Linked DNA regions of Saccharomyces cerevisiae S288C. Changing the gene in region 1 together with any one later gene gives a genetic interaction. Each region holds a gene or a part of one and is shown on either strand. Other genes may lie near its edges.

Region 1 (7,946 bases):
TTCGACGATCACGAAGCCTCCAGAGAAGGGTTGGGTTACCGTGAATTAATTCCTTCAGTTATCACCAAACATTTTGAAGACGTTGGTCTTGATTCTGAAATTGCTAACCATACTCCATTAGGTTCTTTATCTGGTGGTCAATTAGTTAAAGTCGTTATTGCCGGTGCTATGTGGAACAACCCTCATTTACTTGTTTTGGATGAACCTACCAACTATTTGGACAGAGACTCTCTTGGTGCTTTGGCCGTTGCTATTCGTGACTGGAGTGGTGGTGTCGTTATGATTTCGCATAATAACGAATTTGTTGGTGCTTTATGTCCTGAACAATGGATTGTGGAGAACGGTAAAATGGTTCAAAAGGGCTCTGCACAAGTTGACCAATCCAAATTCGAAGATGGTGGTAATGCTGATGCCGTTGGTCTAAAGGCCTCCAACTTGGCCAAGCCATCTGTAGATGACGATGATTCTCCAGCTAACATCAAGGTCAAGCAAAGAAAGAAGAGATTGACAAGAAATGAAAAGAAGCTGCAAGCCGAACGTCGTCGTCTACGTTACATTGAGTGGTTGTCATCGCCAAAAGGTACACCAAAACCAGTTGATACTGACGATGAAGAAGATTGAAAGCCTACTGGCTAGTGTTTTATCTTCGCTAACTTCGTTTGTTTCACTCCATCTTTTTTCTTTAATTCACTCCTCAAATGGAGTTTACTACGTTGATAGAATTTAGGACAAGCATATGACGCTCTCCTTCCTTTTTTGTTTTCTAGGTTAATTCATTTTTCATACAGAGTAGTTAATATTGGTTCTTTTCATATATGTACGGTACGCAGATTAATTATGTAAACTTAAACTTAAGGGATCCTTTTTGATGCTAACAATTGTCGATGTTGAACTACAAATTTATGTAAGAGGTCGTTGTTAAGGATTATTATTTTAAAAATACACGAAGATTGATTATTATTTCTTACATGAGGTTATGAATCGTGCTCCAAAAGTATACCAAAAATAACTCCTGAACTGCTAGGCACAGTTTGCGATAATTTAAAGGGGTTAAATACACTTTTACTACTGGCTTTCACCTTATAAATCCCTCATTAAACTAAAGATGAATGAACATTGTTGAAGAAATTGTCCGGGTAAGAGGTTGTACTAGGGAGTGATGAACATCCATAAATTCTTCGACTAGCAGAAGTAATGATAATTTTCACCCGTTAAAGCTACATCTGGTTAGATGGACTAGAAGAACCACGACGAAACAATCATATAACAATGTCTACTTTTAATGCAGAAACCGCTGATAACTTGGAAGATATCGAGAAACAATTCGCTGTTGTTGCTGTTGAACAAGCGGAAACATATTGGAAACTATTAACAAGTGTTCCCGGTTCCAAGTTACGTTTGACTAAGTTTGATGACGAAATATACGAGAATTTTATGGAGAGATTCCCAGAATACAAAGATGTTGAAAGGGTCAAAAAGTTTACGGAGGAAGAATTAAAAACAAAAGAAGCCAAGGAAAGATGGAGAAAGTTCTTCACAATTTTTGAGAAAAAAATCGAAGACTATAACTTTGGTACTTTGTTGAGGACAGACGCTTCAGCCGAGTATGGTCAATTTACTACTTGTTTTGTCGTGAGACTACAATTTTACGCTTTTGAAATTGCTAGAAATAAACACGGCTTGAACGATTGGATTGTCGGTCAGAAATGAACATGCATATATATTTGTGATTGATTATATAGAATACATTACTTTATACAAAGGAACAACACAAGGCATTCTTCCTTGTTCAACATATATATATATACATATATATATTAAGCTCAGTAAATTGTTGAAATGTGAAAGGCTGTACTTTTGCTCTTAACTTTTGAAAAAATTCATCATTGAGAATTCCCTAATGTTTATGGGTGTGAGTATCGGCAGAATCAGAATGAGTATGAGTATGATTTGTTGATTTAGTGTCATGAGAGTGCTCCAAATCACCTTTAGAGTCAGAGGTTACATCAACAAACTCGACGTCCACCTTCCCCACGTTTGGCACCTTCATACGTAAATCCTCTCTTATAGTCGAAATAGCGTTTTCCAAAAATCTTATCCCAACTTCCTGACCTGAATGTAATACTGGCACTTCCAAAGTTGTGGTGGCACGAAGATTAGGACCGGAAGCTAATATAGTAAGGTCTCTAACATGTAACGACTGTTTGAGATCTAAGTCTGTTTTCAAACTGCCAATGCTGTCTTTTATGACAGATTCGATTTCTAGATAACGCGGATCAGTAGGTGGTATAGATTGGTCAACTAACTCCTTCAGTGAGGATAAGATACCTTGTCCACCTGTTTTTATGATCAAACCTGACACTACAAGCCCACCTAAATTATCTAAGGATTGAATGTTGAAAAAATAACTAGATGTGATAGCGACCAACGCTACCAACGATGTCAAGGAGTCAACACGATGATGCCAGGCGTTTGCCATTAGTACATTAGAATTTGTTTGGATTGCAACTTTCTTTGTTGCCTGAAAAACCCATTCTTTAACCAAGATAGAACCCGCTGCTATCCATACAGCATTTACATTAGTTGCCTGTTGTGTTAGCGACTGAGAATGGGAATGCGTTTCACCAATTAAACCGGCCATCGATTCTAGAATGGCATGAGGAATGACAGGCCCCACAATAGCGCATAACGACGACCAACCGATAGATATACCAGCCATTGCTAAGATTGTGGATACTGCCAAAGATCCCACAGTTTCCACTTTACCATAGCCATATGGGTACTCCGAAGTTGGTTTACGAGACGCATATTGGACAGAAAACAGTGTTAAAAAATCAGATACCAAATCGCTAAGAGCATGTACGGAATCAGCAAGTAATGCTTGAGAATGAAAAGTGATTCCTCCTACAAATTTTCCTACTGCCATCCCCACATTTGATGCAAGTCCTATCCATGTTATTCTTACGCCAGGATTCTTCTTGATCTGCTGTACGTTCAGTGACAATAAAGGATTGTCATGCATATGTGTGTGGCTGTGACTATGAGTATGTTGCAACAACGACTTCACAGAGGAAGCCTTGCCTTCCTTCTTTCCTTCACTTTCATTCTGTCTGGAATTCGATCCATTCTGTGAAGACATTTTTGAAATGAGCTGTTCATTATAGCCCTCTTCTTGACCTTCTTTATTTAGCAGTTTCGAAGAATGCAGGCACCTTCTCGGGTTGGCTGAGATCATTGTACTGTACAGGCTTGATGTTCTTATGGCCCTCCCGGCAGCATGGTAACTAGTGTTGTTATAACCTGGCACAAAGGAACCGAATTGCTTGATAGAGTCAATACTTATCCGTAGCATATCTTTATTGCGTTTGCTTTTTTGAGAAAGTAATTGCTTACACGTTCTAGAATAAAAAAGTATGGTTGTAAGAACGCACTTGAAAAGGCACCAATCTGCTCGGGTTTTTACAACTAACACTAACCTAGATGAGAGGTAAAAAGAAATCGTAAAAAAAAGTTGTTGCCCAGCACAATAACGACACTTTACCCGCTAATTCCAGGAGGTTTGAGTTAGACAACGACCTTCCCACCCCGTTTTCCCATAATTCTATTGTTATACACCTGGATCTGGAGGTCCGTGAAACGGCATACCTCGACGAAAAAGGTCACTACTAATCAAATCAAACTGACATTAATAAAAACGTATAAACTGACAGCTGTAGATCTAAATAAACTAGATTAAACATATGAAATAGTTTGTAAAAAGTGGCATCATGACCAATAATAGGTCCAGATGAAGAAAAAAGAAAAAAGAAGACGAAATTAGGGTAAAATTTCTCACTTGCTGCTCAAGGGTGAGACCCGCACCTCAGGCATGTAATAGAAGCTTCGACCACCGCATCTACCAGACGCCTTGGTTCCCACTATCATCATCATATTCATCGTTTCCTGACCCAGACAGATCGCGTCTACCGCTGCCGATATTAGAGGATTGGTAGCGGTTACTTTGAGCACCTCTTGTACGACCTTGTTTTTGCTGTTGGCCCGAAGTCAAGAAGTCATCGTCTTCATCGTCGTCCAACTGACCTTGAGTGTTAGTTTCGCGGTAAGTTTGGGTATAAGTGCCACCACCAGTGCCGGCAGTGTAGTCAGTAGTTTGTTGCTGGAAGTCGTTACCGCCAAACTGCGTGTTACCGCCTAGATTAGACTGTGGCTGCTGGCGTTGAGGGAAATTCCCTTGGTTTTCTTCGCCGTAGGGATCGGCCTTGGATCCTTGATTCCTGAATTCCCTCTGTTGATGTTTTTCATGACGCTGTTGTCTAGTCTGGTCGTCATTGTCGTCTTCGTAACGTTCATCATGATCGTTGCCGTGCAACTTATCAGCAAACTTGTTTAATAGATTGGACATTTCTTAATTGTTATTCGTACTTAGCTTTTATGCGGTAGTGTTTGGCTCTGCTGCTAGTAGATATTAAGAGTTGAGGGTAGGTATGTATCCTTTTTTTGATGAAATAGTAATGTGCTTTTATAGTCCAAGAAATATTGACTGCTTCAAGGGAGCCTGATTAACAAGCACGTAACGGAGACCAAAAAAAGGATTTCGGTCTTTTCTAACCATTTCCCTTTACTCCCTTGTGCGTTATTTGTTTTGATTACTAGGCATGATGTATGGAGGAACTTGCGATCAAATGTCATAAAAGTGGAGGAGTGAAAAGAAATGACGAAGCCCAAAACGTGGTCCTAGAATTACCACATTTCCTTTTTCTAAAGGAAGCCAGACTATGCTTTACGCAAGAACTGTGGTTAAAGAGGGATATTCTGATGAACATAAATTCATACACATTCATGAGAAGCACGACAAGGATTGGTTAATTACTTACAACTAAGGCAAAACTGCCATTGACCTCATCTGTACCACCACATGCTGTGTAGTTATTTTCCCTTTGTGATCCCTAAAAAAGATGGGATCTACACACCTTACAAGAACATCCTCAAACCCATACCTGGAACCACTGAACATATTCTTCCCGTGAAAGGCTCTACGGCGAAACTACTGTAATGTCACAGGAAATTAAGGATGCTTCGACTATGGAACGGACCATACATGGGGACCCGATGTATAGAAAGCCTCAATGAGGCAAAGAGTCTAGCTCCTTTAAGATACGTAATTCTCCTTCTGTTTTCCCTTAATTATTCGGGTGAAATACCACATGGTCGCACGGCTGACGGGGAACTCCGGAATTGGACGATGAAGAACTTAACGGTGATATGAGGTGATCGTGGAACAAAACGTTGTGCCAAAGAAGCCACAAATACGTCACTGTAATTATTCTGCCTGCATAAAAAGAGCCATCAAGGATAAGCTAGAGACTATACTCCGGAAGTAGAAGAAGGAAGGTGTGAGAAAGAAGATAGAGCGTGTAACACAATCATGGGGGAAAAAAGGACAATAATCAAAGCGCTGAAAAACTCTGCAGCGTCCCACTTCATCAAGAAGTTGACCGCAGATACTTCCCTGTCGTCCATACAAGAGGCAATAAACGTCGTGCAGCAGTACAATGCAACGGATCCCGTGAGATTAAAGCTTTTCCATACGCCTCGGATGGTTTCGCAGGGGGCTCATTTTGCATTTTGTTTGCCCACTAAGAAACCACATTACAAGCCATTACTGCTTTCGCAAAACGCACTTGATGAGTTTAATTTGGTGCAGGATCAGGACTTGGAGAAAATACTATCCGGTGAGAAAGTATATTATTCCGATAGTATCTTTCCCTATAGTACAGTGTACTCCGGATTTCAATTCGGCTCATTTGCTGCACAGCTGGGAGACGGACGTGTGGTAAACTTGTTTGATCTTAAGGACAAGTGTAGCGGACAATGGCAAACGTTTCAGTTGAAAGGTGCCGGTATGACGCCATTTTCTCGGTTTGCAGATGGGAAAGCTGTGTTAAGATCAAGCATACGTGAATTCATAATGAGCGAGGCGTTGCACAGTATTGGAATTCCATCCACAAGAGCTATGCAATTAACTCTGTTACCGGGGACGAAGGCGCAAAGGCGCAATCAAGAACCGTGCGCTGTTGTATGCCGTTTTGCGCCCAGCTGGATCCGCTTGGGTAACTTCAACCTATTCAGATGGCGGCACGACTTGAAAGGGTTGATCCAACTATCAGATTATTGCATTGAGGAATTGTTTGCTGGGGGGACCCAATTTGAGGGGAAACCCGACTTTAATATATTCAAAAGGGATTTTTTTCCTGACACTGAGACGAAGATTGATGAGCAGGTGGAAAAGGATGAAACTGAGGTGAGTACCATGACCGGAGATAACATTTCCACATTGAGCAAATATGATGAGTTTTTCAGACATGTAGTTAGCTTGAATGCAAACACAGTGGCCCATTGGCAAGCGTATGGGTTTGCTAACGGTGTTTTGAATACGGATAACACCTCCATTATGGGCCTGACAATTGATTATGGCCCCTTTGCCTTCCTGGACAAGTTTGAACCAAGCTTTACCCCGAACCATGATGACACAGCGAAGAGATATTCGTTTGCCAACCAGCCAAGCATTATATGGTGGAACTTGCAACAGTTTGCCAAGGATCTCGCATGTCTGCTGGGTCCTGAGGCCCGTGACCTTGAATTGTTACTTAAGGGCGAACTGAATTCTGTTGATGACGCCCTAGAGAAAACCATGATTGAAAGGGTCCAGAAGTTGGTAGAGCTCAGTGCTAATGAGTACAAGTATGTGTTTACGACAAGGTACGCGCAGATAATGTCTCAAAGACTCGGTGTAGATCTGGATCTGGAAAAGTGCATGTCTTCTACAAACCTCAAAGATATCGAACATGCAGCCGAGAAGGCTAAAGAGTTCTGCGATGTTATCGTCGAACCATTGCTAGATATTCTGCAGGCCACAAAAGTCGACTATAACAATTTTTTTATCCATCTACAAAATTACAAGGGGCCCTTCTTCATCAAAGATAAAAGTGACACCGCAACACTTTTTGGAGCATTCGATGAAGAGTACTTGGGTATGTTCTTCAACTCCAAGCAACTGCAGCAAATGGCAGAAACTGAAGAGGCCTTCGCGGCTGGTGAGAAGGTCTTTGACGCTAACGGCGAATTGCGTTTGCTCAACGAAAAATTGCAAGAAATACGCAATTGGACCCAAGACTATTTGACCTTGGTCCCACCCACGGAAACTGCTGCAAGAGCGTCGCTTGCCAAGAAAGCCAACCCGTTGTTTGTCCCCAGAAGTTGGGTACTGGAGGAAGTAGTCGACGATTTAATGTACAGTCAAAGGGATGGCCTACAAGATCCCAGTTCGGAGCTAGATACATCTGCGTTGAAGAAGCTATACCTAATGAGCGTAAACCCATACGACCGCACGAAATGGGATGTCACTCTGCGGCCAGAACTGGAGACAAAATGGGCTGACCTTTCCCACCAAGATGACGCTAAGTTTATGATGCAAGCTTCCTGCAGTAGCTAAATGACCACAGATGTATTTATACATTCATAGCTATATATATACATATATATATATACATGTAATATGGCGCAAGTAGGCACGGTAGTCACCAATTGCTCAGGTATCTCCTCGGTGTAAAAGCACGTACACCGCGTTCGGAGAGTCGTTTATAAACTCAAAAGGGGAAAGAGACAAGGGTAGCCGAACGACTGGCACCGGACACGAACACGAAAACTTATTTAGATTATTAAAAAAAAAAAAAAAAGAGAGGAAACGAGGCGGAGGCGGAGAGGAGGAGAGAGACAAGAGACGGGCAGAACAAGAAGGGTAAAAACAGTGAGAAACAGTCTCCGCCGTTTTGACTGCGTATCCATCGTTATTGTCCACTACGAGACGCTAATGACGAAACGAGCTACCACATGCGTTTCCTACGCACCTGCTAAAGACCTGACACTTTAAAGGACCCATCTTCTGG
Region 2 (8,126 bases), on another chromosome or scaffold:
TCTAATCGTAAGATTTATGATTATTATCTACAGAATGGCTTTCCAAACTATGATTTCCATAAGGGTGGTTTTTATTTTTCCAGAATGAAGCCTAAGACTTGGTTCCTGCTGGCCTTTATTTGGATAGTCGTTAATATTGGGCAGTATATCATTTCTATTATTCAATATCGTTCTCAAAGATCAAGAATTGAAAACTTCATCAGTCAGTGTAAACAACAGGATGATACCAATGGACTAGGCGTAAAACAACTAACGTTTAAACAACATGAAAAGGATGAGGGTAAAAGTTTGGTTGTAAGGTTTAGCGATGTCTATGTTGTAGAGCCTGATGGAAGTGAAACACTAATTTCGCCAGATACCTTGGATAAACCTTCAGTAAAGAACTGTTTGTTTTGGAGAATACCTGCTTCGGTTTGGAACATGACGTTTGGCAAATCTGTTGGTAGCGCAGGAAAAGAAGAAATAATAACGGATAGTAAAAAGTATGATGGTAACCAAACAAAAAAGGGGAACAAAGTAAAAAAGGGTTCTGCAAAGAAAGGCCAAAAGAAAATGGAATTGCCTAACGGTAAAGTGATCTATTCACGTAAATGATACGTAAGAAGTAATATTATCATGATGAATGAATGAATGAATAGAAAACTACATGGTACTTATACATATAAATTAATATATATATATACAAATTAAAGAAAAGTACAAAACAATGTATCATTCATGATCATAATCATTATCATTATCAGCATCTTCATTATAATTACGAGTATTATCATTGTCATTATCATTATTATCGTTATTATCGTTGTTATTACTATTATTACTATTATGGTTGGTATTGTTAATGTTACTATTACTGTTCTTGTCCTCCGGCGGCCCCAGTATGAAAACCCCATTTTCCGTGTTCTTATTATCAACGTCTTCTTGAGCCCTATTGATTAACATTTCCCTTAACTTGTTGTGTAAATCAGATTCTGTAGATAAGGACAACTGTTCTTCTAGAGACTCAACATTGATTAATTGGCCGCCACCACTTGTTCCATTACTACTCCCGGTATCTGAATCAAGGATTTCATTATTATTACTTGCATCACCATTTGGAGTTAATACAGTAGTATTGTCAGGCAGCTGCGGAATGATGTTACCATTTCCATCATCAATATAACTTCCACCGCCAAGAATTTTAGAGTACATCATTCTTGTTTCGTTTAAGACTTCTTCGGAGTAGTATTGCCATTCTTCGGTTTGTAAAATTACTTGAATATCGGGAGATATTAGTTCCACTTTGTACAATTTAGAAAATTTGACCACTTCTTCGGCAATCAAGACAATATGGCCCATATATCCCAAATTCATTTTCCTTAGCTCATAAAATTTATATGAATCCTGGTAGCCCCTTAATATGAAGTCTGTAGTTATTTTGAAATCAAAATTTGGGTCTCTAATAACGGGAGAAAATCGGGAAACATCCGTTCCTTTTTCATCTGATATGACGATATCAGTCATAAATTGATAGGAGCTCTTTAAGTTAAACAGAGACAAAACAAGGAAGGAATTATAGGAAAAATCCATTCTTCCATTGAAGATTTGCTGAATTATGTCGAATATAACATTATGCCAAAAATTGTTCCAAGGATGTGTTAAGAATAGTTCCATTATTTTGGAAACAATTCGCGTATCATATAGTTTGATTTTGAATAGGTCCCCGACCGTGGGGTCGGTCCTAAGTTTTATGTTTTGCTTCATATTGATGTATGGAATTTCGAAGCTCTCGTCTATTTCGTCGCCATAGTCACTTTCATCATCATTATCATTATTGTCGTTATCTATTTTACCGTTGTTATTTTTTAGGTCGTGATCAGTGTCACGTGTTGGAGAGTGCTTCGTTTTAAGTTGCTCCTTTTCTTCGATACTCAGATCGTTTAATGCATCTTGTAAATGATGGGATAACTGGCTCCTTACTTTATCTCTTCTTCTGGCTATTCTTTCTGCCCTTTTGGAATTCATTAATCCCATATTAGAGCAATGCAGTAACTCGGCGATTAATTCCACCACTTTGAATCTTTCAAATCCTAAAGGTTTAAATTTTTCGTGCAACTGATTTTCATGTAATGGGATGTTGGCGTCATTTTCAATATCTAGAATGATTTGGAAAAAATCGGACAAATGGTTTGAAAATTTCCGAAGTAGATAGCCTAAATATATTGGATCTCTATTTGAAGGTGGATGAGTCTTTATAGTAGTGGTTAAAAGATTAACTTGATCGTAGTCTGAATTGTTTTTCCTTATCAGCTCAATGACAATCGAAACTGTGGTATTTAATGCGGCACCTCTTTGGTTGATCATGATATCGACTAGCTTTGCAATGGATTCGGGAGATGCTAGCTGTCTCGTCAAGGAGTTTGGACCAATGGAAATATCATCCAAGGGTGCATTAGCAGAAATGGCAATCAGAGCCTTTAAGAAATCACCCACGCATGCTTGGATGTCAGCTGGGGACTCTTTGTTATTTAGAAAGCTTAAGCATTTGCTGATCAAGTTTTGATCATATACTAATTCAATTATTCCCGTGGGTGATTCAATCTTATCTGTGGATATTATTTTCAAGAAAAAATCCATCAATAGGGAAATATCAACATGCTTTAACATATCATCAACAAAGCTTCTCTCCGTTCGAATAAAATTTAAATATTGATCCTGCCTGGTTAACAACAGATTTTGGTTAATCTTTAAGAATATGGGTACCAAGGGAGAGTTTTCAGAATTGAAATTTGGCTGGTTGATGATAGACCAAATCTTGTTTAAGTATGATTGGTTTTTAACTAATGACTCGCTAATCAACCATATGTCTAAGGAAAAGATTTCAGATATTATGGTGGCCTTTGTCAAATAAGCAGATTCATCGTCCTCATTCGCATCGTCGTCGTCGTCATTGTTGTTGATATCATCGTTACCAAACGAGGAGCTTCCGCGTTTTCGTCTCTTCTTGTTATTGCTGTTATTATCGTCCTCTTTCTCCTCTTCTTGCTCCGTATCAGATTCCACATAAACGTCCTCTTGTGAGCTATCATCAAGCTGTTGCTGTTCTTGATAATCTATCAGGTTATTCAAATCCACTGTGGTGGCGGTTTTAATCTTCGAGATACATTCCATCAGTTGGTCGACCAGATATTCCATATTATTCACTTTCTTATTAGTTTTCTTATCAAAGAAAAATCCAAAGCAAATGAAGTCAAGTAGCGTCTTGTTTTGTCTCGATAATTCGTTCAGTAGCTCTGTCTCTACAAGCATTCTTTCAATAAAAGAGTTATCCAAATTCTTTGTGGTGACCATCATGGGAGCAGTAGCATTGCTGATATCCTCCTCATCTAAATCAGTTTTAGAAGTTGACCCAGAAGAAAAAGATGTAGTGGAAGATTCGCTAGAGTTCATGCTCCGTTCCTCTTCCTCTTTCTCATACCGTTCTTGCTGATCATCCTTCTCAAATCGACTCTTCTGATCTCCACGTGCCGTTTTCACTTCATCACCATGACTATACTCCTCCGGAATAGAATCTAGGGAGTCACTTGTACCTCGTTCCTGAACGTTGTTGAAAATAGCGGGAATGGCTTTACCAACGCTTGGGTTAATCCTTTCCAGTTCGTGTAGCACATGAAAATATTCATCTAGGATCTTATTAATATTAGAGTGATTAAGATTCTGTCCAAATGGCCAAAACGACATCTTTACTCTGGCTTGTTGTTTTCGTCTTTTTTTTCTTTTCTTTTGTAAAAACTGCTGCTCCAAAAATCAATAGAATGGGAACGGCAGAGACTATAGTCTAGGGAAGTAACGCTTGTGTCTTAATCGTGTTGAAATAAAATCAAAATGAAATAAAATCAAAATAATAAAAAAAGAGGAGGAAAAAAGGGGATAGTCACTCAAACCCACTATCTAGCTTTAGTCTCTCAGTCTTTTAACCGCTACTTGGAGAAAAAATACTGAATCCAATGGTCAAATAAGGCCTTTCTTCTAGTTGCTTTGGAGCGTATGATACCACGATACTGTTGGTTTTGGTTCTAATTGGCCACTTAAAATTATTTTTCTTTCTTTTTTTCTAGAGGAAGGGATAACCCTACTAAGACCTATTCTATAATTACCAGCCCTATAGTTGTCTTTCATTTTTTAGATAAATGCCCTCTTTAAAAATTAAATTAACCCTACTCATTTTGTTGTCATTTCGGCCCTTTTAAGCCACAATACAGGTATCATTTAACAGGAATTACATAATAGTACTTTAGAAGAGACTTGTATGGCATCGAGGCTTCCTTTTTGACTATTGGAAGATAGCATTTTTTTGGGTGTTGCTACTATCATATTTCTGTTACTGATTGACCTTTTCTTAACTAAGAAAAAGGTGGTTAGTTCTTTACTAAAAATCATGAAGGCCGTTTTCAAAGTAACGACTGCTTTGCTGGCTTGCGTGTTTATTGCAAGGTATCTGGTCTGTCAGCAAAATGGTCTGGGAAGCTTTGCCACAGATTTACAGCCCATTTGCCGGCATACTGAATTTTCAGTTGGCTCACTATTCGATTCTAAATTGGTTGAAGGTTCAGCGGTTTCTGACTATTTAGTTGGAAAGTACTCACAATCGATAAAACCACTGATTGAAAGATACCCCAACTCATCCTTGAAGAGAATTATGGGATATTTTTACCGCTTTTGGTACAATATTTTCTCTTTTCTAAGGCTAAATGAGCTCTGCTGTTCGCTACATTCCAAGTTGGGACCTTTATTAAATCATCTAAGGATTGCCTGGTACTATTTAAAGCCATATACAGACAATGTGAAGAATGTACTAGAGAATCCATTTAACTCCTCTACGGATTGGATGAAATACGGCTCCTTTAGCGCTGATGGCACGCTCACCAAACCCATTTTTGAGACAGACTCGGAAACAGAGGATTATGAGGATGATGAGAATGAAAATGAGGATGAGGATGAAGATGAGGATGAGGATGATGTCGGAATTGAGGATGAAAATAAAGAATACGAGTTCGATGGAGTACAGGATGGCCACGGGAACTCACAACTCGTCACTGCTGCTATTTTGCAGGATTTGTCAAAGATTATCATTGGTTCCAATAGCCATGCAGAATTGGAAACTTACGAGGCAGAATCATTAAAAATGGAATATGAAGCATGGATTAAGGCTATAGATTCGAAAATACACAGTGCGATGGCACTTTTGGATTCAGAGATACAGTCTGTGTTCGAGGCCGAGGTGCAAAATAAATCTATAGAAATCACTAGGAATCTTGATGACCTTAACACTACCGTTAATGAGCAATTAGTGTTTCTAGATTCAAAAATCAAAGATATTAATTGTACCTCTAAATTCGATCCTGTGCAAAATAAAATAAAGTATTTTGATGAATCGGGTCAAGTTGAACTGGAAGCTTACATTACCAAATCATCTATCACATCGATACTGAAGAATTATAAAATACATTTGTTAGACTTTGAAAAATCACTGTTTCATTCATTAGATTCTTTTCTTACCGAAATGGCTAAACTGGCAGAATCGATTCGTCTTGAAAACGTCGAAGTGTACGAAGAGTGGGGCGATGTAATGATAAGTCAATGGTCGCAAAGAATGGCATATATGGACGTCAGAGGTCTCCATTTGGAAGATCAATACGATCCTGCCTATATAGAAGAGAATCATTCCAACTGGCTCCGTTTCATGGAATTGAAAAAGAAAGTTATTTCTGAGAGGAACCGTCTGGTAAAACATGATCTGGATATGACTTTGATACTGGAATGGATTACTAAACTAAAAGCTGATTTCCAGAACACAAAAAATAATATTCAAGATACCTTTCTGCAACGAATGAATACTGCGGATACTTTATTCAAAAACCGTGAACTAAAGGAACAACTAGAGGAAGAATTTGTACGGCAAGAACATTGATCAATATATAGGTATGTATATGTACATATATACAAACATTTAATAAAAACAATATTGTATGATAACCAAGTTAAAGACCGGAGGTTGTTTCAAATAGCTTGACGTGCGGCAGATCTACGACTCTGTTGGCCTTGTACGCTTCAAGAGATCTGTTGGTCAATTCTTCAACCTCCTTATCAGTCAGTTGGCCCTCAGTAGCCTTATTTTCTTTCTGTCCCCCATTTTCAAAGCCTATATTGGATTCATCGCTCATTAAAAGCATAGATAACTCCTGGACTAAGTCCTTATTAGTGACATTAACACCCGCTTTGTTTGCCTTCAAAAAAGAACCTTCATTTAACGCCAATTTTTTCAGGTTATTGAATTTTCCCATCTGGATAACCATTCTTTCCAAATTTCGCTTATTGGCCGCTCTGGTCAATATAACATGTTCAATGGTGTTATCACAACACAACCTATATACTATAACCGGTGATTCTTGGCCAATACGGTGACACCTGTCCATGGCTTGTAAATCCACCTGTGGATTCCAATCACTATCAAACAAGACAACTGTATCTGCCCCGACTAGATTAATACCCAGTCCTGCCGCCCTTGTGGACAATAGGAAAATGTTATGCTTATCTTTCGAGCTATTAAACTTCTCGAGTTGATCCTTTCTTGTTTCATTGTTTACTGAACCATCAATTCGAAATGTCGCGAACGAATTTAAATCACACCAATCTTCGATCAAATCGAGCATGTTAACAAACTGAGAATAAATAAGCACTTTGTGCCCCTCAGATATTAATGGGGGGATTAATTTTTGTAAGATTTGTAATTTCCCAGACGTCTTTAAAAGAGTTTCCAAAGTCAAGTCTTCTGGGTGTAAATATGGGAAATAAAACAAAAAAGTTGAGTCAATGATTTGTCTCAATTGCATCATCATATTTTGCAATTTCTTATTTGAAATTTCCATTTGCAGGTTCTTCTTATATAGTTTGTCCATTTGCAACAAGGTTGGATTGATTTTATTGTCTGTATTTGAAGTTTCATTACCAGATAGTTTATAATTGATGAAATCTCGTATGGACCGATTAGAAACGTGGCCGATGTATTCATCGTTCAATGTGAAAAAATCCTTGATTAATTCTTTGAACATGGTTTTTTTCAACTTTCCATTCAATCCAGCCTTATAGAATTTTTCCTGTGCAGACGTCATCGGACAATTTATGATATATTCTCTCTTTGGCGGCAGAATATTAGCCAAAACAACTTTTTTCAATCTTCTCAAAAGGAATGGTTTCAGAATTGTGTGTAAATTGGAAATCAAATTTTTCTGTAGTTCATCGTTGATTAACTTATTCAATGCTTCAGAGTTGGAACCGGAGCCTAAATTTAAGCTGTCGAAGTCAAACCATTTATTGAATATCTCGAAATCGGCAAAGATATCGGGCATTATGAAATTCAAAAGTGACCATAATTCAGCTAGGTTATTTTGTAAAGGCGTCCCTGTTAGTAGCAGTCTATTGGAAGTATTGATTTTTTTTAACTCTTTAATCAATCTACAGTTTATATTTTTCAGACGGTGGCCTTCATCAACAATTAAAAATTTCCAATTTTGACTCATGATTAAGTCGGTATCTCTTAAAATAATTTCATATGATGTGATGACGATCCCCGTGCCGCCGTGTTGTTTAAAGAAATTTTTCAACTTGGCAGAACGTTCCTTATAACCATTGGTCCCATAATATTTTAGAACTGGTAGATCAGGAGCGAATTTTGCAAATTCGTTCATCCAATTATCTAGGGTGCTTAATGGTGCAGTCACTAGAAAAGGACCCTTTGTGTCCATTTCATATATGAACGCCAAAAGAGCAATACTTTGAACAGTCTTACCAAGACCCATTTCATCGGCAAGAATTCCGTTCAGGCCATTTTCATAAAGAGTGATCAGCCAGTTAAGACCTTCTAGTTGGTAAGGTTTTAAAATACAGTTTTTCAATAGGCGAGGTTGCTTTATTGCTGCATCGTCTGGTGCGCCGTTTTGGGTGGTTGTATCTTCGTTCTTTTTCTGTTTTTTGAAGAAATCTGTTATTGATTTTTTTTTTGTTTTACGTTTTTTTGAAGAATGTTCTTCATCATCAGAGTTGCTGTTATCTTTTGTATTAGCGTTAGCCACTTCATTAGATCGATG
Region 3 (8,159 bases), on another chromosome or scaffold:
GAGCGATACGGCCATCAGTATAGCCTAACACCAACTTTTTGATTGGAATTTTCTGTTATTATTCTTGGATAAAATGTATACTTATACTAGTCTAAAGAATTGTTATATTAGAGGTGTACTTCTTTGCCCGTAGTAAAGCCCAGTAACATATAAAAGTTCAGTCCGGAGATAATCAACCATACTATGATTGCGAGCACGGTGACGATCATTCCATTGCTCATGTCTTTGTATTCTGGAGCAGGAGAAACTAAGCTGCGCTCCTGTGAGCTGCTGCCTATGCCCATTTCTTCGAGCTCAATGGTCTCATCATCTTCGGTTCGGTCGGCCACGGGTTTTTTGTCTGTAGTTCTTGAAAGTTCTTTGGTACGGTTAAGCTGTACACGCATAATCTTCTTGCTTGAAGTGAAGTAAAGTAAAGGTGCAGAAACAAAAGGCAGCAAGAGAGAAAGTACCACTTGGGAAGCATTTAGTGCACCAGAGAGGCCGCTACGTCCAGCTACAAGCACTAAAATCAAACAAGGCGTGATGGCTACCGCTCTTGTGGCGGATCTTCTCAATGCCGGAGAAACAGTCCAATTTAAGAACCCTTCACTAACCATTTGTCCACTCAACGTACACACGATACCGGCACTCTGTCCTGAAAACAACAATGCCAGCACGAATACCGTTCCCGCTCCCTTGGAAAGAGTACTACAGAGTAAGTTGTAAATAGAAAATAAGTCAGCTTCCTCAGCATTTTGAGTGGACCCGTATAGTGTAGCGCCAGACACGATAAGAATGGCACAATTGACAAATAATGCCACCGTGAACAGCGAGATCAGTAATTCCGTTATAGTAAAGTGCAGAGTTTCACTGATGGCCTCATAGGATGGCCTGTAATTATCGTGATTGTTATCCATATCATTCGCGTCTGGCAAGTAATGTCCGTTTTTGATATCATACTCTCTTAATCTTGGTTGAACCACACCTGACCCCAAATATAATGAATGAGGCATTACCGTGGCGCCCAGAATTGCCAGACTTAAGTATAACCCATCACCTTCAAAAACGGCTTTACTGGGTAAGAACCCAGAAAATATTTCTTTGGCAGGTCCCAGTTTGGCATAAAACAGTTCAACAGTAAAGCAAACTACGGTAAGAACCACCAATAAAGAAACAAAAGCTTCAAATATTCTGATACCCTTCATGGAACCGTTAGGTTTGTAAGCTAGCAGAACAATTAAAACGTCTACCACAGTAAGTATCACACCTAGGGCGAGAGGTATATGGAAAAGGATATTCAAAGAAATAGCGGTTCCTACCACTTCTGCCAGATCTGTGGCAATAATTGCCATCTCCGCCAGAATATAAAGAGTAATGTTAAGTCCAAAGGGCAAATGTTTCTTACAATTTTGTGCCAGATCTAGGCCAGTGACAGCACCCAATCTGGCGCAGAGGTACTGCCAAAAAGCAGCCATGAAATTAGAAACTAAGACAGAAAATAAAAGCTTGTACCGATGAGCAGAACCCGCTGCTACAGCTGTACTATAGTTACCAGGATCCATGTACGATACAGATACCATCAAACCAGGACCGATGAACCTAGCATATTTTCTCAATGTTCCGATCATGCTCTGGGATGTTGAGTTTGGCTGCAAAGTTGTTCTTCGACGCGACTCATGAGTGGTATTCACGTCGGCATACGCATCGTTGACACTATCATTATTTGTTTGGGATTCATCGCTCCATTGAATAGGTTCATATTCTTGGGACGTCATCAAACATAAACGCTATACGGAAAATTAGTGGTTAAATGGCAATAGAGATGTGCTAATATTAGTATCAAAACAAATAGTTGTTGAAGAGGGTTTTCTAAACGGTTAAACGCGTTTGATGGTTAAATGACTAGAAGCAAAAGGAGACTGATTCTGAAATTTAATATGATTTCTTTTTTTTCTGCTGTTTCTCTTCTGCATTATTTTCTTCCTTCGAGAAAGAGTATAAGTATGTTTAAAAAGGTCTTCGTAAGCCACGCTAAAGCACCCCGGGTGGATTTTTCGCGCCGGGCGGGGTTAGCAGCACGCAGGATGGAAGAGAAGAGAAAGGATGCTACAAACTTGTGGTTCATTCTATACAAAGTACTTATATGTATATATACATACTCGATCAGCATTTCACTCCACACACCCTGCGTGTGATAGTAAAAAGCTAGAAAGCAGGTAAGCAACAACCTACGATTTATTCAGAAGCTTCTTGTAAGGAAGAGGTTATTTGTTCAACAATTGGTCTGATAATGTCCTTCTTGTTTGGAACCATATGTCCACCAGGGTGTTCGTAAGCCAACACCTTTTCCTTATTACCATTTTGCGCCTTCAAATAAATATCGTACAGGTACTTGGATCTGACGGATGGGACGGCTTGGTCAGAAGCACCATAGATGAAGATCATCTTGGTCTTCATGTCTGGTTTTACCGCAAATGAGTCTCTGAATTTTTCGGTTATTCTCAATTCTCCAGGATGTTCTGGGTCTGGCTCGGTGAAGGAATAGCCGGAAATGACTACACTTACCTTGAATTGTGGATGGTCTGGAACTAACTCTGAGATCTTGTTGGTGATGATAGAGGACAATGCGGCACCTTGAGAGAAACCGACAATGCCGTCGTATGGGCCATTGGCCTTGATGTGATCAACAACAGACTTCAAACCTTCTGAGATATCCAATTCGTGAGAGATTTCGCTGTGATAGAACCAGGCTCTGTTAACATCCGCATCTAGGGTGGCTTGCCATTTTTCATCATCCATTTCAAATGGCAAGTCCTTCTTTTCTAAAAGGACTGGTGCATCAATATAGTCACATTGGACATTAGCCTTCTTCAATAATTTTCTAATACCAGATGATTTTTCGGAGAAAACTTTACCGTTTTGCAAGAAGCCGTGTAAAAATAATAATTTTGGAATTTGTACAGTCATCCTTCGTTTATTACAAGCTAGAGAGTTTCAGATTTAGCTGCTACTTTTACTAGAAAATTAAGATTGGCCGCGTACATCTGGCATTTTGCACCTTTATGGTTTATATACAATATACATTGCAGCCAAAAACATTCGAAAACTAGAGAAAAAGAAAGAAAACATGCGAGAATATGCAAAAATGAAAAAATGCAAAATTTCTTTTTTCTTTGGCCTATGCGTGTTGCCTTTTGAAGATCCGAAACAATCTATCACCAATGACGTAAGCGGGAAAAGATTATGCAACATCCAAAGGAAAAAATATGCAAAAAAATCAATCATCCCATGCATACGGCGACTTGGCTCTCAGTCGGGCACCGTATTTGGTAAACAGAAATGGGACAGGAATCATCGCTACGGTCACCATTGCCAAGAGAAAGCCGGCCCAATTCACTCCCATTGACTTGTACATCTGGAGTCCGAAAAGAGGGAAGACACCGGCCATTATGCATCTCACAAATGTGTTACAAGCCATTCCAGAAGCTGCATATCTTCTATAGGCATCCACTGTATACGCAAAAACACCGGTAAAGACGAAATAAACACCTGAACCGAAAATTGCACTGCCTATAATTGGTGCAATCCAATGGACATGCTTGTAGCAGGTGAATGCAAAAATGAAGAGCCCAACTGGGGTCAAAAAGGCGCCGTAGAACAGAGGCTCGAATCTCATTTCGGGAGTCTTGACGCCATTATTTCTTTTGACTCTCCACTCAAACGTTTTTTGGAATAACAAGCAAGTAGGAGCCGAGAGTATCATGCCGACCATAATACCGATATAGGAGCATGCAATCTCCATGGGCCCAAAGTTGTAAAGTTTCTTGAACACATAAGGAAACGCTACGAAATATAAATATATTATGGCAAGTTCCAATCCAGTATAGAAGCAAAGCACACCCATCATTCGGTCTCGAAGTAACAGGCCAAAGGGTCTTTTGGTTGAGAGAAAGATTGCGGAAAGTAAGGAAGTCTGTTCGCGGGTGACTTCCAGGACAGCATAATACCGTTGATCATTTTTCTCTTTCCTCAATCTCTTAGCTTTACGTATTAACAGCATTGGTTTGTAGGTTTCAGGTATGGTAAAGATGATCATAACGAGACAACATCCAGAAGTGATGAGAAGTGTGATAAATGTCCATTTATAACTTTGATGGTATAAGGCTCCACCAATGATTGGTCCTAAAGAGGGCCCCAAAAAGGCCGATGTAGTGTATATTGCCATAGGAATACCAATTTGGTCTTTGTCGAATATATCGGCAATGGCGCCGCCAGCCACACTTAGAAAGGCTGAACCAAAAAACCCGGATAGAAATCTGCCAAACATGACACCCGTAATGGTCTTGGACCAAATGGTCAAACACTGCCATATGATACTGAGCGTAAGGGCGTATAAAAATGTGATCCTTCGTCCATATAGTTCACTTAGTGGAGACAGAAATAAAGGTCCTATACCGAGCCCAAACACATAAAGCGTAATTCCCAGAGTGCTGACTTCGTGCGAAATATGAAAGTGTTCGATTATGTGCGTTGAAGGAAGCGTCCAGCTGGACGAGATCATCGTAATTACCATCGATGTGAATGTAATTAACGAGGAAATATAATACCGGCGGGCGGTGCTCATATGCCGTGCTATATCTTCTGGGTCCGCGATGTCCTCGTTGAAGGTCACTTCATGCGATTGTTTGCCGTCATTTTTTCGTTCACTGGTCAATTCCAGATCCAGTTTTGCGGCTTTGTCTGAGTTTATTGAACAATGCTCTTCTTCAGTAGATGTCAATGCCGATGACTGTGCACTCGCTATTTGAAATTCTGCAACCATATCCTGTTGTTATATCTGCATATATATGTTCTTAGTATACAAGGTGATACCATACACCAAATGTAAGGCAAATATGCCTTTATATAGGGTCCAGGTGAACGTAACGCATCTAATAACAAGTGTTATTGCTTGACCTAATAATCTGAGATGGTCGCTTCACCGGTAGAAAAATTCTCTGCGTATTACTAATCTCAACAATAGCCAACACTAAATCCGTAGGACCGGCGAAAAGCGTGCTAATCTCCGCTTTATTGCCGGATCCGAAAGGTGTTTCTGGCATCAAGATGTTATAAATCACGGAATTAAGAGAAGGATATTAAATGTGCCATTGCATTTTATTGATATTTCCACTCACCCAGAGGGATAATAATGATCAAAACAGATATACAATTCAGCTCCACTTTTACCTGCGCAACATGACATTTCCAGAACTAGCTTACAATTCGTACACCGGTTATAATTGGTTTATGGTTTCCAATGTAGGACCAATTTTTAGAGATAAATACTGAAGCAAATATTGGATTTCTTCTGTGTTTCACACGAAGAATATGAGTGAACCATTATTCCGGCTTTTGTTTCCTACAGCAAGATGTAAGTTATCTGGTTTGCTTATTACTTAGAAAAAGGGCTCCTGCTGGTGGAGGTAAATTAGATTATGCACCTATCGGCGGGTTAGCGTTGGGCCGTAGCCTTTTGGTCGCTTGCATTTACCACGTATTTTTTCCTTTCAATTTATTATAAGCTTAGAGATACGATTTCAAGGCGCAGCTCTTCTGTTAGCAGTTTTCTCTACGACTTTGTATGAGGTTCATCTCATTTTGTTAGCTTCTATTCACATACCTACTATAACACTAATCCTGCTATGGTTCAGACCCAAATATCTTCAACCCCTGCCATAGGAACTGTAAAAAATAGATTGTAATTCAAAGTACCTTCAGAAAAAAAAAGTTATATACGGCGCATACTACACAGTACGCAATGTGTCACTTGGTACCGCTGTTCTTATGTTCGTTTAAACAAGATCTCGAGGTTTGAGTCAATGTACGAGATTTTGAAACCATGAGGGATGTGCCCTCAAACTTTATGATCTGGTTTCTTTTTTTATTTATATCGTTTTTATGCTGGGTTACGTTGTTGTTTTATATTCCTTGTCTAGTATTACGGTCAGCAGAGGCCAAATCCTATATGCATTATATGTGGTTAGCATTGACTCCTTAATAGAACGGCCAGTTATCAATCAAATTGCCTATAAGCATGGATCACTAGCGGCTAGTATTGTATTGCATTTGGAATAGCCCTCTTCGTTGAGCCACAAAGATATCTTGCGGAAATGTGGCTAAAGCAACTTTTGATGATTGCTGGGAAACGGTTTGGTAAACTGCTGAAGCAATTGTTGTACACAATACTTCTGCTTTTGGCCCCATCTGGATTTTTCATTTCCGCTTTTGCCTCAGGTGCAACAATAACTATCTTTGAGCATCGTACCACCAATACAAAAGGATATGATCGTTATCATACAGAATTTTTCATGGATTTTGCATGTTTCGGTATAACTTTACGTAGGTGAATTATTGAAGGGCTTTGTGATAGGTGTGGATGTACCTGCCGTGCGTTGATGACCTTCAACTGATCGGAACAAATTGCTATTACATGTAAAAATCTCATGTATGAGCGAATCTTTTTGTGTTATAGGCAATCACCTAGAAAAGCTTGGAAATTGGTCCTGAGTTTTTTGTTGATGGTAAGTGCATTTTTTTAGTATGAAAGGTTTACGATATTAGCTGCTAAGTTCTCCCTTGCCCTAGTGAATTACGTTTTTTTCGATTAAAAGGGTTGGTCCCGAAATTGACCTCTTATATGTACCTCAATTGCAGATAGCATCAAATTTAGACTACGTCATCAACCAAATTACACCCTATGAAAAACATAAGATTATAAGCATGCGTTTGTGTAAAGGTCATACCATTTTATACGTTGACGCAATGGTGCAAATAGAAAGGTTTACGAAAGCTCTTATTCCGCTTAGCGCAATTCTATTGTTAATTTCAAGTAAAAAGATAAATATCTCACGTCCTTATATTATCTTTGATTAAAATTTCACGATCAATGTAACGAAAAAAGGTCGCAAATATTTCTTTTTCATCACTCTGATTAAACAATGGCATCATGAAACGCTCATTGGATCGTTACACGTTCTCATTGTACATATGTATGATTTAGAACAGCTTGTTCGCCTGATCTCCACCTTATACCCTCATCTTACCGCAGTGCGGTTTTACGCCTCATGTTATTTTTGCCAGCTTTAATAACAACATCAGTAATATTACGTTATTGGATCTTCCACTCCGGTTCGAGGAAAAAAAGAGAGGAGGAGAAACGCATAAGCTACAATAATGAGTGAGTTAACGCTTTAATTTGCTCAGTGATCATTGCTAGCCGGATATTTGTGTTTTTGTAGAACCCAGCCATACCTAATCATCTCAGTATATTATCTGAATTCTTGACTCAAAATATGGATTTTCTCGAACGTCTCACTTCCAATCATCCCATCAAATGCTGTGGATGAAAACATTTAAAACACGGGCAAGAAAAAATGAGTATAGTATAGTTGTGGCCAGTTCTTGTTGTACTAATGCACTTGCTTTCGTATCAAAGTTGAAGAAGCACTGAAAGAACAACAAAAAATTTATTAAAAGCAAAAATCATTCTACGTTCAACGAAAATGTAAGGCAAATATATCTTTATATAGGCAAGCATAACCGACGCTAACTTTGTTCGAGCTTCATCAACGTTATTAATATCGTAGTTATTCCGCTTTGTCTCAATAAGCTTTTGCTTACTTGAGAAAAAGAACGAAGTTTCTGTTTGAGATTTTCCTTCTCATTTTCTTTGAAATTTAAAGGAGAAATATTCAGCTCTATACATTCTTTGTTCGAGTATGTTACACATCACCTTACAATGGGAACATCCTATGATGACATACTTCTTCTCGATGATTTATTTTTTTTCTCAGCAAACGCTGTTTTCTAGGCGGTGAAAAACGGGAGTCTTCATCCCACATTTTTTGAACTCGTTGTGAAAGTTTTTTTTCGTACTCTTGGACTTGGCTGTGGGAGTTTGACACATTTTTTTATTTTTTTTCCGTTTTTTTCCCTTTTGTTAGCGATCAAACTTTTGACTTTATGAGTAATCTTAGCTAATCATTTAGAATTATCTTCAGGGAAGCTTATTCAATTCGTGATTTTTCTTTGAGGGTTCCTGTTCAAGCAAGCCAAATTGCCCTCTCAGCTAATACCATGTCCCGTGAAGTACTGCCAAACAACGTTACCCCATTGCATTATGACATTACACTAGA
Region 4 (6,936 bases), on another chromosome or scaffold:
TCCTCTAATTGCAAGAAAGAGCGACTTCTATTCAGGTGATGTGGATGATGACTATCATGTTCATGATGGGGTTTACGTCTTCTAAAACCCTCAAAATTTCGCAATTTCTGTTCTGCTTTCGAAAGATGAGAACCATGGTAGTATTTTGAAACTACTTTTGAAGCGATCGGGTCGAGAAATTCTAAAAGGCTCGTCAGTGAAACAGAGTTATTCGTTTCATCGTCAATGTCGTTATTGTCCAACTTGTACATTACGATAAAGATAGCGATGAGTGCCACTCTAAATGGTATCACAATGTGGAGATAATTTTTTGTTAAATGGGAGCTTTTATGATGTCAAAGCTTCTCTATTGAATATACCTTATATTACTATTGATATATATTTGTTATCCGCTAAACCCATTTAGGGGTTGATATGTCTAAAAAAAGCCAGCATTTGATCTGCTTGTGAATATTCGGCGAAGTCACACATAATGCGAGATAATTTTCAAAATTATAATGCCAAACCGAAATACAGCCATACGTAATTTGGTGGCCTAATATGCCTGGTGTGCTGGATAAGATATTATGTTAATGAAATATTTGTACGTACATCCGTTTGTGCGTATGTATATGTGTGTGTAAAATGTACATTGTCCAAGCTTTCCACAACTCCTATTATCGCTAGTGTTGGCAGGATTATTTGTTTGAAAATAGCATATATCTCGTTATGTGAAACTTTGCCAAACAATATTCCTTACAACATCCGTGCATACTCTAAACCCAATCACTAATTTTCAATTTTTAAAAACTTTATACTCTGTACTGCGGCAATTAAGGCTTTCGCGTCGTTGAGCGCGCAACACTACCGGGGGTTCCTTACCGTGAGCCTGCGCCTCTGTAGGAGAATGTAGAGGTTCCCGTTGAGGGAACTCCAGCCATGGGTTGACGGGAGTTCCCGTTTGGCCTGATTGCTCTTGCGCAGTTGACATCTAGCCAGAAACAGTAGTAGTGGGAGTTGATATTACCAATATTTACAGGTAACCTATATTGATTAACTAAATTATAGGCGTTTAAATTTTTGGGTGGTCAACAAAAGAGGCGAGCAACAATTTGAATTGAAACGTATGTCGCGTGCCCATTAGGAAATGAGAGAATATTGAGGACAACGAGGAGCTTCGCAGTGTAGGAATTGAGAAAGAAGCGACCATTTGAACAATGCTGAGGTTAATAAGAGGCCCACGATAAAGGCGTTATATTAATCAACGTTGAACATCTTCCCAGAAAAGTACATGCGAATAAATCAGGACCGTCGAAAGACGTACGGAACATCATTGGCAAATATACATCGGGATCTGTTGGATATGCTTGTCGTGATGAAATACTGTTCTCGTTGTCGGCTTGATAAATTTTCTCCCATTTAAAACTCTTTGAACCAAAATTGTGTACTAACATCAATTTGTATATAAACCATGAGTGTATTTCACCTTGTGGTTTTTCACAGCTTTTTAATTTAGAAGAACAATGAAGGTTGAAGTTGATTCCTTTTCCGGCGCTAAGATCTACCCAGGTAGAGGTACTTTATTTGTCCGTGGTGACTCCAAAATTTTCAGATTCCAAAACTCCAAATCTGCTTCTTTGTTCAAACAAAGAAAGAACCCAAGAAGAATCGCTTGGACCGTCTTGTTCAGAAAGCATCACAAGAAGGGTATCACCGAAGAAGTTGCTAAGAAGAGATCTAGAAAGACCGTTAAGGCGCAAAGACCAATCACTGGTGCTTCTTTGGACTTGATCAAGGAAAGAAGATCTTTGAAGCCAGAAGTTAGAAAAGCTAACAGAGAAGAAAAATTGAAAGCCAACAAGGAAAAGAAGAGAGCTGAAAAGGCTGCTAGAAAGGCTGAAAAGGCTAAGTCCGCTGGTGTCCAAGGTTCCAAGGTTTCCAAGCAACAAGCTAAGGGTGCTTTCCAAAAGGTTGCCGCCACTTCCCGTTAAGATAATTAACTTTTGTTAGTTTTTTATTAATAATATATCATTACAAGAAAAATGAAATAAAAAAATAAAAACGTGATCCGTACTTATTTTTGTGTTAAGTATCAAATAATATAATATATAAAAGACCGTGATACAATAGAAATCTGCGTTACGTTGAAAACGTCATAAAGGTATCTTTGGGATGAGCAGTTGTTATTGTTCATGATCGTTACCCGGCTTCAAGTGGATTTTCACGAAGCCTATGGGCTTGACATTTACATGATATCACATCTTTAAGAACAAGGGAAAACCAAAGTTAAAAAGTAGCATAAATTCCTCTTAGATCGCTGCAAGGAGATTAGATCTTCCCTTTCTTTTTTGAAATTTTCTTTTTTGGTCTAGAGTTGGGGTGATGATGGTACCCAGGATTAGTGCTTCACCAGTTTTCAAGAGGATATTTCTTCGATGGGGATTTGTAACTTTACCCATACAGAAAACCGTATCCCATACACTGCGCAGGGACTTTAGTGCCCCTTGTAGGAGTATGGTAAAATGCCTTCTCCTACGACCTGGGATAAGTGTGCACTCAGCACAAGACAGAAAATTTTACAGTACAGAGGAAAAAAGTAGTCAGTTTGATGAAAATAAAAGCAAAAGTAACAATGGGAAGAAAAATGAGCCACACGGTATTAAAGGATTAATGGCTAAGTATGGTTATTCTGCACTGATCGTATATATCCTCTTAACTTGTGTTGATTTGCCATTATGTTTTCTGGGAGTCCACTCACTAGGTGAAGAGAAGATTAAGATCTATCTGAACAGAGGTAAGCAATTGATTGGGATGGGTGAGCCTGACGAAAGCAAAGTCATTCAAGATGTTAGAAGGAAACAGGCTCATCGCGAAGCAGTGCAAGCAGAGAATGCTGACAAGGTGGAGGACGCATCGAGGAAAACTTTCAATGAGAGATGGCAAGAGATGAAGGACAGCACGTTGTTGGCCGAATTGCTAATTGCGTATGGCATACACAAGAGTTTGATCATCGTTAGAGTACCCCTGACGGCAGTGCTAACGCCATCCTTCGTCAAGCTTCTGCAGAGGTTTGGCATCGACTTGATGAAGAAGCAGAAAAAGGTATTCCAAACGATGGCCTCTGGTGCCAAAATAAGATACAAAGGGAACAACCCTAGCGATTTCATCAAGAATGAGGGCACAGCGCTCGACATTACAAAGCGCAAACCAAGAACCAAAGGCCAGAAATGGTTTGATGGCCTAATGTGAAAGAATATTAGCGTAGGCTTAGCATGTATATAGAGTTTACATTTCTTTTCTTTTTTCTACGTAACCACGTTGTTTACGTACTAGTAACAGAACATTTGGCCACGTGAACAGGTCATAGAAGCTTCTACCGTACTCATTTTACATAAGCCCGGTTGCTAGTGCTATTGCTCGCGATCCTTCTAAGAGGGATCGTTAATCCTGCTAGCTGTACCCCGGCCGAGCCACCCAATGAGCACTGAGGAGGGACCTCCACGTGCCAAACGACACTCAAACGGCAACAACAGATCGTATTGTGCCGCCTGAAGTCGCATTAATTCTCAACGGGAAGCTCATCCCTCAACGAAAATCCTAGTGCGCCTTTCACATATGTTCCAGAAGATTCGCTTAGTCGGCCAGCTAAAGCGGTTCAGCTTTTGAGCTAAAAATACTTGGAAAAAATCTGGCCGTGACCATAGGTTACCGCGGAATAGAGGAGAAGTTTTCATCTCTTTTTTTCTTAATGTAGGGCACACGACTCGGGTGTATTTGCTACCGTGTTTATTACCGTCATTCATCGCCCCATCTCATCGCTTTTGCGCACCGGGTTCAGATCATTCAATTTTCTTACTTTTTTATTATGGGGTTCCTCCCTGAGTGTAATTTAACGTGTGCTTTCTTATTGCATTCGTTTACATTCCCTATTGCTCATTGCCCTTCTTTCAGTTGGGCATCTTTTTTTTTCACAATTAGGCCGCCCTTTTTTCCCAAATTGGCACTTGTTTGTACGATCTTTAGCTAGAACTTGGAGACCTGAAACGTGGTGATTCTTATATTTAAAGGAATACCGATCTTTTCCGTTTCAACACCCCAATTGTGAGAATTTTATTTCTTGCATTTCGGAAAATTTAGATACATTCACATCCATACTTGGACACATATATATATACAATATAATCATTGACACAGGCCATCGCCATTGAGTAAACTGTCTTTGAACTGTCTAAAGAACTTAGAACTATAGTGTTGTCCCAAGAAGTTAAAAATTGAACACTTGTGAGAATTATAAAACAGAGTAAGCAAAGAAAGAATAGAGAAACAATACTCCGCTACCGATTCTCCTTTTTTTCCTTATAAAAAAAGCTCGAGAATAATTACTTTATTCTTATCCCTCCACTCCTTTCAGGTATTCTTTACCGATTTGCATATCAATCATATAATGAGCACCGCATTCAACGATTACTGCACTGTTTGTGATCGTCTCATTCCAACATCTCCACAGAAAACGAACATTAATACCAGGAAGATCCAAAGGGACAATGAAACCAAGAGCAGTTTACAATCAAATAAGTTATATTGCTCCGAAGATTGTAAGCTGAAGGATTCGAACCCTCTTAATGAGAAATTATTATCCCACTTGCATAAAAAATCAAAAACTTCTCATTCGCATAATCTCACTCCACCGCTTTCATATTCTAAAAATTTAACTGCATCAAACCTCTTCGAGCCGACTACCTCACTATCTTCATCTCCGACATCTTCAACTATCCCCTTTGACGAGTTGGAGAAGCTAGAGTCCTTATTAATTTCACCATTGCTGCTACCTCAGGATGGTATAGTCAATCCTAAGCAGGAGTCTAATCCTTCTCGTGTTGACGAATATGATGAAAATGAACATTATTTGAACTTAGCCGACTCTCTTAGACTCGATTCTAGTTACCAATTGCATTCAAAGGCACATTTGGGTTACGAAAACAACTTGCCACGATCAAACGATCTAATTGATGATCATTTGATCTCAGATCAGATCATTGAGAATAACTACAACCTATGGTTTAGACTATCCTCCAGTTAAACGGCTTCACTTGCTTCGTATCTTCTTCGACTTGCCTTTAACCTACTCATGATTCATGCTTATTTTTTCTTTTTCGATTTCCTTTTCTAGTCATCCTAAAAAAAAAAAACCTACACATATACATATATACATAGTTCTCTACACATCCTTTTGATAAAGAAAATATGTACGTACATCTGCATTAAAAAAAAAAAACAAAACCCTCAATATTTGGGGAAAGAATTCTATAATGTAAACTGTATCACGCATACTTTTTGCTGTCTTCGTCTTCATACATATAATATTTTTAGTTTAAGGTGAAAGGATAATTAAAATATCAATTTCTAATATAACTACATACCACGGAACGCATTTTTGCTAGCTCTTCTTCTATTTTCGAATCTGGGCTTCGACCTACCATTGTCCTTCTTATTACCATTTTCGTCAATACCTTCTTCATCCGATGAATTATCATGACGCCTGGATTTATAATTTCCGTCTTTTTTGCTTTTTCTTTGAGGAATAAAAGTAAGTTCTGCTTCACCGCGTTGGTTACGACGTAAAATGGATTCATTTGATTTCTTTCCATTTTCCACCTCAAGCAATTCGCCTACTTGTTCGCCAAATGTAACGTGAGCACTTTCGTCTCTTTGCGTACTCGTGGAAGTGCCGGCTTTCATTTCGTTCATAAAACGTTCGCTTTGCTCCTTTTCCTTCTTTCTGCGTTCAATTAGTGCCTTTTGCTTTTCCATCTTTCTCAAATCTTTTTCACTTAATTCTTCCTTATTTGACTTTTGGTTCGTTTCATCATCAGATTCTTCTTCATCAGACTCTTCATCCTCGTAGTCATAGTGACCTCTGCCATCCTTCATTGCAATTCTTTCTTCGTCGGACTCTTCGGCAGCAGTTAGCGCCCTAATACGTTTAGCAGCACCTTCTTCGGTTTCTTTGATGGATTTTACTGGATTCAATTGTTTGAAATCATAGTCATCTTCATCGACTTGAAATTCTTCATCCTCAAACATTTCTTTGAAACGGTCATCCGTAAGAACCTTTCCTGCAACTTTATCACCACGTTTTTGAGATAGTTTATCAACCAATGTTTTATTGACTTTAATTTTAGGTTTTTGAACAGCCCCTGAACTTCTGATTCTGGATTCTCTTTCTTTCTCAATTCTACGTCTAATTTCTCTTTCTCTTTCATCTTTGTAGGCATCTGGATTAGCAATTAATGAAACCTTATCGTAAAGTTCAGTGTTAATAAAGAAACCATGCATGTATGCTCTTAATACTCTGGATCCCACCAAGTGCGTTAAATTCAATTTTTTAACGTCGTCTCTAGTAATGAACCTGTAGTTAGAGTAAACAGTGTCACTTGGTTTTTCTTCTAATTCTTCTGTGATAGAATCCAAGAATGAGCACCAGCGTGGAGATGGTCCTAAACTTGGAATATAATATGTATGCATGGGAATACTTTCGTTAGCGGTGAAAAACATACCTGTACCTGGTACATGCTCAATGTCGTTAATATCAACACTAGGCTCCATAGAAGCGTATGCCTTACCATCTAGTCTATCCCATATTTTTGCAATTCTCTTGTCACATGTAACAATTTTATTTTCCGTGCCGACGTTATCCAACCAAATAATTTTCTTAATGTCAAACCCATAACCTTGGTCTTTAATAATGGAAGGTTCAGAAGTACGCAAGTCATAAATGTATGAATAACCGTTCGACGTACCACATGCAAAAGTTAACCCGTCATTACGGAAACTGGTTGTGGTGACTTGGAATGGTCTGTTGTCAATATTGTTCTCTAAATATAGCTTTGAAACACGGGAACGCGACCTTGGATCCCAGAATTCCACTACATTTGTTTCCGTGCCTGCCGCTAACAA

Evidence for each region.
Region 2: mutations in MMT2 (region 1) and OSW7 together harm fitness more than expected from each alone (negative genetic interaction), as found in Saccharomyces cerevisiae (one large-scale study listed by BioGRID).
Region 3: mutations in MMT2 (region 1) and YHK8 together harm fitness more than expected from each alone (negative genetic interaction), as found in Saccharomyces cerevisiae (one large-scale study listed by BioGRID).
Region 4: mutations in MMT2 (region 1) and ECL1 together harm fitness more than expected from each alone (negative genetic interaction), as found in Saccharomyces cerevisiae (one large-scale study listed by BioGRID).

Annotation. Positions count from the first base shown.
Region 1 is NC_001148.4:124,737-132,682, forward strand, and holds MMT2 (Mmt2p), read right to left. Parts: upstream 3,353-7,946; coding exon 1,898-3,352; downstream 1-1,897. Other genes in the region: NEW1 (New1p), read left to right, coding at 1-621; ribosome-associated Tef1p biogenesis chaperone CHP1, read left to right, coding at 1,270-1,710; GRE1 (Gre1p), read right to left, coding at 3,896-4,402; FMP40 (Fmp40p), read left to right, coding at 5,426-7,492. UniProt on the Saccharomyces cerevisiae protein: Mitochondrial metal transporter involved in mitochondrial iron accumulation.
Region 2 is NC_001138.5:229,836-237,961, reverse strand, and holds OSW7 (Osw7p), read left to right. Parts: upstream 1-4,417; coding exon 4,418-5,950; downstream 5,951-8,126. Other genes in the region: ERJ5 (Erj5p), read left to right, coding at 1-594; SAP155 (Sap155p), read right to left, coding at 712-3,720; IRC5 (putative ATPase), read right to left, coding at 6,021-8,126. UniProt on the Saccharomyces cerevisiae protein: Involved in spore wall assembly.
Region 3 is NC_001140.6:201,252-209,410, reverse strand, and holds YHK8 (Yhk8p), read right to left. Parts: upstream 4,805-8,159; coding exon 3,260-4,804; downstream 1-3,259. Other genes in the region: divalent metal ion transporter SMF2, read right to left, coding at 108-1,757; FSH1 (putative serine hydrolase), read right to left, coding at 2,218-2,949; AAP1 (arginine/alanine aminopeptidase), read left to right, coding at 8,101-8,159. UniProt on the Saccharomyces cerevisiae protein: Probable drug/proton antiporter.
Region 4 is NC_001139.9:782,346-789,281, reverse strand, and holds ECL1 (Ecl1p), read left to right. Parts: upstream 1-4,423; coding exon 4,424-5,059; downstream 5,060-6,936. Other genes in the region: GPC1 (glycerophosphocholine acyltransferase), read right to left, coding at 1-251; 60S ribosomal protein eL24 RPL24B, read left to right, coding at 1,503-1,970; NAT2 (Nat2p), read left to right, coding at 2,362-3,228; YGR146C-A (uncharacterized protein), read left to right, coding at 3,845-4,006; ribosome biosynthesis protein ENP2, read right to left, coding at 5,392-6,936. UniProt on the Saccharomyces cerevisiae protein: Involved in chronological cell aging.